Linked DNA regions of Ovis aries. The protein of the gene in region 1 interacts with the protein of each later gene in a biochemical or structural test. Links are inferred from orthologs where the notes say so. Each region holds a gene or a part of one and is shown in the gene's direction. Other genes may lie near its edges.

Evidence for each region.
Region 2: the proteins of CTTN (region 1) and ACTR3 form a complex in vitro, tested with the Homo sapiens proteins (3 studies listed by BioGRID). The link is inferred for Ovis aries from reciprocal best matches to the Homo sapiens genes CTTN and ACTR3.

What each region holds. Positions count from the first base shown.
Region 1 is NC_056074.1:43,921,729-43,925,543, forward strand, and holds part of CTTN (src substrate cortactin), read left to right. Parts: intron 1-663; coding exon 664-774; intron 775-1,414; coding exon 1,415-1,469; intron 1,470-2,251; coding exon 2,252-2,362; intron 2,363-3,815.
Region 2 is NC_056055.1:179,038,542-179,042,356, forward strand, and holds part of ACTR3 (actin-related protein 3), read left to right. Parts: intron 1-2,075; coding exon 2,076-2,159; intron 2,160-3,567; coding exon 3,568-3,663; 3' UTR 3,664-3,815. UniProt on the Homo sapiens protein: ATP-binding component of the Arp2/3 complex, a multiprotein complex that mediates actin polymerization upon stimulation by nucleation-promoting factor (NPF).

The sequences.
Region 1 (3,815 bases):
TATTTACAAAGAACCTCGGTGCTGGATGTGGGCCGCAGGCCTCGGCTTGCTGACCGCACGCCGGAAAGCTCGGGGTGGACTGCTCGGTCAGCATGTGGCCTTGAGAGGTCACCAGACCCGCTTCCCTGACTGGGGGTGGGGAGGCGGTGGCAGGCCCCGCTGCACACGAGGTGGGGAGGCGGTGGCAGGCCCCGCTGCACACGAGGGCGGGCTGGTTGCGTGGCAGGCGTTGACACTCACCGTGTGGTGTGCCTGACGCATGTCCTCTGGGTTCCGGTTTGAGCCCTGATTCCTGGGTCGCATGCTTTGACAGTGTCGCACCTGAGGAGGGTGACCACTCCCGGCAGTCTGCTGGAAGCCGTCTCAGGAGTCGTTGGCAGGCTGCTGGCTCTGGTGCTGGCTGGGGCCTGGCCTCCTGGTTCTTCATGCCCAGGCACCTCAGGAGGCCCACTGTGGCTGGGGTTTGGGCGACTTCTGGGGAGCCTGGTGTGGAGCGGGTTCAGGAACACCTGACTGGGGGCCCTGGCTTGGCGATGCCCCTGGAGTCACCACCCCTGGGCCGGCTTCCATGTGGAGCCGAAGTGCAGGCTGCCTCAGGGTGGGGGTGGGTCCAGGGTGGCGGTGCTGGTGGGCGACTGACGCTCCACTTTGCCCCTGCTCCAGTCAGCCGTCGGCCATGAGTATCAGTCGAAGCTCTCCAAGCACTGCTCGCAGGTTGACTCCGTCCGGGGGTTTGGAGGCAAGTTCGGCGTCCAGGTGGACAGAGTGGACCAGGTAAGTGAGGTGTCGTGGGCAGCCGGCCCCACCTTGTAGATTGAGGTCGCTCCAGGTGTCCTCTGGGCGTCTCGGAGTGGCGCGGAGGTGCCTCGGACTGTGGGGATGCAAGGTGGGGGCCCCGAGCACAGGCTCCTAAGGCCCCTCCCGCCCCCACCTTCGCAGATGCTCTGAGATGATTGGCTGTTTAAGAGGCGAGAGGGTTTTCCCGGTATAGAAACCCCCATGTTGGTGCCTGCTTATCGAGTGGCCCTGAGATGGCCTTCGATGTGTCCCGGGGGACGGTGGGGACTCCCTGTCCCTGCTTGTGTCACAGTGACAGAGGGCCCCCCTCACACCCACCTCCAGGGCTGGGCTGAGCATCTGATGCTGTTCCTCTGGTCTGAGGCCCTGGCTCAGGGCCGGCAGCCCCTCACTTTATGTCGTAGCATTGAGAACTGCCTCGCTCATTGGCTGGGGCGGCCCCTGGCCTTCAGTGTTTCAGGGTGTGCAAATTCAAAATGCTGGTGCTTTGGGCATTAGTAGCTTAGTAAATTAAAAAATCAAAAAGTACCAGTAACGTGGTTCGTGTTTCTTTAAAACGTCGCGTGTTGTGGGTCCAGCCATTGAGATCTCCACCTTCTCTTTTCCGTGACTGCAGTCTGCCGTGGGCTTCGAGTACCAGGGGAAGACCGAGAAACACGCCTCGCAGAAAGGTGAGATGGGGAAGGTGCAGAAAGCCCCCCGCTTTTGAAGGGCAGGAGCGCGTCGTCCCTCGCGGCCTCATCCGGAGGGGCGGGACACTGCCCTCCCCTCAGGCTTCTGTGGTGTGGCGGGGCCCCGTCAGGGGGCGCGCTGGCCTGGCGTCTTGTGTCTCCTCGTGGCCTCCCTCCTCTGAGCAGCATTGCCTCGGGCACAGTTCGCTCTTAAGCTAGGTCGGCAAAGCAGACTTTCCCCTTAGGATAGTGACCAGAGCCGTTTCGTTGCTGATGTTTGCACAGTGTGCGAGCTGTCTTGAACACGGTGCTGGCTGGTCTTCATGAGCTCGCGCTCACTTGTGAGCCTTTTTTGAAATGAAAGTACATCACTTCCTCAAAGCACTCGAGGTGTTTTTTGCGAGCTTGTTTGCTTACGCCTCTTGCAGGGCATCCGATGACCAGGGAAGTAGCCGGCCTGGGAGCGCTCTAGGAGTCCACCCAGCCCAGGGTGTTGGCGGGCTCCGGTCTTTTCTAGAAAGACCCACATAGCCATGTCCCTTTCTTCATACGCTGAGCTTTGTTTGAATGGTTACTTTCCAGAGTGCACCGGTGGCTCACCTCTGCCCTCCAGCTGTCGGAAGGGGCCAGGCTGCAGGGACACGAGACGGCACGCGCGTCCCGTCTGATGGCGGGTGGCTCCTGGTGCTGCCTCACAGGCACTTTTGTCTCCTGGGGCACTGCTGCCCGGCGCTTCTCTCCCGCTTTTCACCAGAGGCATCTTGCCCACCCTGTCTCCCCAGACTACTCGAGCGGTTTCGGTGGCAAGTACGGCGTGCAGTCCGACCGCGTGGACAAGAGTGCCGTGGGCTTCGACTACCAGGGCGAGACGGAGAAGCACGGGTCGCAGAGAGGTGGGCGGGCGGGCGGCCGCTGCGCACCCCACAGACTGTCGGGCGCCCGCGGCCCCTCGTCGCTCATGGGTTTACTGACACCAGCCAGGGAGCGCCCTCTCCCCGTGCCAGCTGCTTTATGTTTTGGTTATACAGCTCTCTTAACCCGAAGTGTTTGGACAGCCCTGCTCTTCCCTGGTTGGTGTGGGGGCTTGTCGTCGTTTCGATGACCGCACAGTCCTCCGCTGTACGAAGACGGCGTAGTCCCTGAACTGTTCCTCTCTGGAAGGTGGAGTTGAGCGTATCTCCACTTCCGGATGTTAAGAATTGCCTACCGTGAATATTCTTGTCTTTATGTCTTACGTACAAGAGTGATTATTTAAGATAAGTTCTAGCATTGGAATTGCTGAGTCGAAGGATGTTGAACTTAACATTTTGCTGGATGCTGCCAGGTTGTCCTTAGCAGCCAGCCTGAGCCTCCCTTCATCGAGGTGCCCCCTCTTGGAGGTCAGTTATAGCCCTCTGCCCACTGAGGTGCGTGTGTATGGAGTTGGACGCATAGTCTCGACCCCTGCTGCAGAGGTGGAGACTGGCTGGTTCTTCTGTATGCTGTGTTTTATCTGGCCTGTGCATTCAGGTTTTTGAATCACTGGCAACGTAGAAACAGAGCTCACAAAACCACCACTGGCAGCACCCGTGAGTGGGCGTCTCTCCGAGGGAGGGGCTGCTAAACCTGAGAGTGTCGCTTCCCATTTGCCCGAGGGCCTGCCTGTGCTGGGCCGCCCCTCCCTGTGTGGGGAACACACCCGTCCGCCTTTGCCCTGTGTGCACATGCTCAGCAGGACCTCCTGTTGGACCCTGTTCATTCTGCCAGACTTTCTCCCCAGATGCCCTTGCAGAATAGCTCCGCCTCCAGGAAGCTGGGGAGCAGAGGCCGAAGCGCCTGGAGCAGCGCAGGTGTCCTTGGCAGCTCTGGGCCTACTCAGGCGGGGTTGAGTCCCTGCTCATGGGTCTGTGGCGGAGCCTGCTGTGTGTAAAACAGCTATGTAGTATTTATAGGCACTTAGCCTTGAGCGGAACTTGAGTTGATGCTGTTTCTTTGGAGGTGGCCCATCTCGCCTCTGCTGTAGTTGAGGAAGCAGGCTGACTTAGTGTTTGTTTTATTTATGGCCGCCCTTCTTGCTCTGTGCAGTCTTTCTCTATTTGCGGTGAACAGGGCCTGTTCTTGGTTGCGGCTCACGGGCTTCTCGTCGCGGTAGCATCTCCTGTTGGGGAGCGCGGGCTCTCGGCGCTCAGGCTTCAGTCGCAGCAGCGCGCAGGCTCGGTATTCGTGCCGCACGGGCTTAACTGCCCTGCAGCGGGTGGGGTCTTCCCAGACCAGGGATTGAACCCGTGCCCCCAGCATCGGTTTTGCCGGGACTGCCAAGAAAGTCCCTGCCTAGAGTGGCCTAAAAGCTTGCTCCTGTTTCTCATC
Region 2 (3,815 bases), on another chromosome or scaffold:
TAACGTCTTTATATATCTGTATTTAAATCTTGCTTTTTTTTCCATCAATCCAATTTAAATGACAGTCAAATAGCGTTTTTTTAGTAACAAAAAGCCGTATCTTTTTGTGATACATAAATTAAAAAAATTTTTTTTATACCAAAATAATTTCATAAGGTAAAACTGTTGGCAAATTCTAGTGGAATTCCTATATATTCTTCTCCTAGATTTCCAAATTTTAACATATTTGCTTTATTTTTCTATTTTTATAAATATATCCATGTATACAAATAGACACATGTATCTTCCTGAATTATTTGAGAGTGAGTTTCAAATATAGCCTGTTACCCCTAAATGTTAGTGTATATATTTCCTAAAAACAGGCCATTACAATTATCAAAACCAAAATATATATATATATATTTTTTTTCTAGTCTAGGGTTCAGTCCAAGATCATATGTTTGAATTTGGTTTCATTTCCCTCTTGTCTGGAAAAAGTAGTCTTTTTTTTTTTTGTCTTTTATAACTTCAGTATTTTTGAAGACTACAGGAAATTTATTTTGCAAGCTGTTTCTCAGTTTGGGTTTGTCTGATATTTTCTTATGATTAGGTTCAGATAATGCATTTTTTGCAGTAATAGTACAGAAGTGGATGTTGTATTCTTTTTACTGCATTGGATTGCCAGATGCATGATTTGTTTTATGTTAAGTTTGATCACCTGGTTAAGTGTGTCAGGTGTCTCTATTATAAAGTTATTGTTTTTTCCTTTATATTTAATAAGAATCTTATAGGATGATACTTTCAGATTATGTGTAACTGTCTTGTTTTTCATCAAAGTCTCAGCCACTGCTTATAGCATCATATTTTGTTATTGCTGTGGTAGTTGCCAAATGGTATTTTGCAAATTCCATTATTTCTTCTTTGTTTCATAGTCTCATTTTACTGTAAGAAAGAATATGTTTTTCCCCCTTATTCATTCATTAATATCCCTGAATTCCTGATTTCTCAGTTATTCTCTAGGTGCTATCATTAATATTATGATATAACATATCATTAGTACTATTATTAAGTTTGATGCTCAGACTTTCTCATATTTGACTAGTAAGAATCCTTCAGAGGTGGCTTTTATTCCTTTTGTTGTCGCCCCAGTATTCTGCAGGTACATCCTAACTTTCTGAAATAGCAAGATATTGCAAGTTCATCTTGTACTTTCTCTTCTCCAGTCTTGAAATCAGCCATTTTATTTCAAGGCACCCTTGTTCTTTTTAGTGGAGAATGCTTTTCTTGTCTTATACATAAAATAGACAAGCAACAAGGATTTTACTGTATAGCACAGGGAATTATATTCAGTATCTTATAGTAACCTCTAATGGAAAATAATCTGAAATCTATCTATGTATCTATACAGATATGAATTACTTTGCTGTACACCCAGAAACTAACACAATATTGTAAACCAACTGTACTTCAATTAAAAGAAACCAAGATTTGGACACTAGATATATATTCAGTTGTTACTGAGGGGTCAGGGCAGCTAGGCCTTGTTGGCAGTCAGATGTAGTATGTGTGTGTATGCATATAAATCTAGCTCTCTGTATAACCTAAAAACTACAGATTCATACTGATAATAGAAGTTCCAGAGTACTGTAAGGTTCATTCTAGCCTTATACCTTCCCATATTTGTAATGCTCTTCTCTGATGGTAAGGAACCAGCCTTATGTTTGTTGTTTGCTCAGTCCTAGAATACATATATAGTAGTTTCAGAATTATTGATCCATGCCACTGTGAGACATAGGCTGACTAATGAGAGTTCAGTGTTTGCTTAGTTTTTAACTTAACCCTGAGGGCGTAGTCCTAATACTGTGTTCATGGGTTACCTGGATTAGTTCTTTTCCCTTTACTGTGGTTATATTTTTTTAAAACAAATAATAAAATTAGCTTAATTTGTTTCTGTTACATTGTTTTGCCCTATGTACACCCCCACCTCCACATCTTTGTTTGTTTATTTATTTTTGAGTGTGTACAACTAAGGTTAAATAATACAGGAATTGTTATATGAGTTTACCATTGAACTGATCTTACTATATCTTTTACAGCCGAAACCTATTGATGTACAAGTCATTACACATCACATGCAACGATACGCAGTTTGGTTTGGAGGATCTATGCTGGCTTCCACAGTAAGTGAGATGAAGCTTACTTTAAAATTTGACTTTTTTGTTTTAAAGATGAAATAATTTATCAACTTAAACAATTTAGAGCAACAGAGAAATTTCTTAAGTTTTTATGTAATATTGCACAGCAAAGTTTTAAAATTGGACACACATAAACATAGTATTTTTGAAAAGTGGAATTCATTTGGACTTACTGGTTTTTTGGGGTGGTTTTTTTGTTGTTGTTGATCTTGCTAGACATTTTTTGAGTGAGCACTTCTTTTTAAAATTTATTTAATGTAGTATTTTTGGCTGTGCTGAATCTTCATTGCTGCATGTGGGCTTTTTCTAGTTTTAGCAACTGGGGGCTGTTCTTCATTGCAGTGTGCAGATTTCTCATTGTGGTAGCTTCTTTTGTTGCAGAGCATAGGCTTAAGTCTGTAGTAATACAGGTATCAGAAGGTCATTGTTTTTTCTGTACAAATATTTTAAAATATTAAGAGTTACCATATAAGAAGTATGATGTTCTAAACTGAGTCAAGGGAATTAATAAGTTACCTCTCCCAAACCAAAACATCTTAAAGTCCCTTTGAAAGATACTTTAAATGTTAACATCCTTTGCCTAGTAAATAGTGGTGTTCTATCCTGTAGTACATGGAGAAGGAAATGGCAACCCATTCCAGTATTCTTGCCTGGAAAATCCATGGACGGAGAAACCTGGTGGGCTACAGTCTGTGATGTCGCAAAGAGTTGTACACGACTGAGCGACTTCACTTTTTTAGCTTTATCTTGTAGTACACAGTATAAAATAAAATGTAAGAAATTTATTTGAATTATTGAAAACTATACAACCTTGGATTTCAGTAAAAGCATTTAAAAATAAGAGGTAAAAGTTATTTTCTTCCTTAATTTGAATTGTCTTCATTTGTGAAGTCTCTGTCACCTCGTTGAGTGTGTAACTTTCCCCTTGAAGAAATGAGGTGATAGACTATGGAACAGTCTGTCTATACCAGACCTTCAGTGAGGAAAGCAAGTTCATCTAGAAGTTTTTGGAGCATGACCTAGAATATATCACCTGTAACTTATATGAATGCTGCTGCTTTTCTTGTTTCAGTGTACAGTGTGGGAAAGCCACAACAGAATAGTTGGGCATTTGAGACTCAACCTTCCATTCCATTCAGTTTTTTCAAAATTGAAAAATTTCAGGAGAAACAGATGTTGAGGAGGGGAATTGAAGAGACTTTTGTCAAATGCTCATTTTCAGTTTTGGTTATAGACTTGTAGCTGATTTTGAGTCACAGTTGCTAGAATTTCAAAGCTTTGTTCAGCTACCATGAATGGACTGATAAACGTTTTAGATTTAACATATTTATCTTAAAGCATGTCGAAAAGTGTTACATTTTTGACCTTTCCAAAAATCTGTTTTTATTTTCAGCCTGAGTTCTACCAAGTATGCCACACCAAAAAGGATTATGAAGAAATTGGACCTAGCATTTGTCGTCACAATCCAGTGTTTGGAGTCATGTCGTAAAATTGGCTTCATAGTTATTGGGGTTAGGGAGGTGGGGAAGAAATAGTCTTTCTGATTACCTGTTTTGTCTGGATGGCTGGTTTTAAACCTGACTTGAAATAATAAGACCAAACATTAATTATACAGGAATATTTTAATAAGTATATCAACAT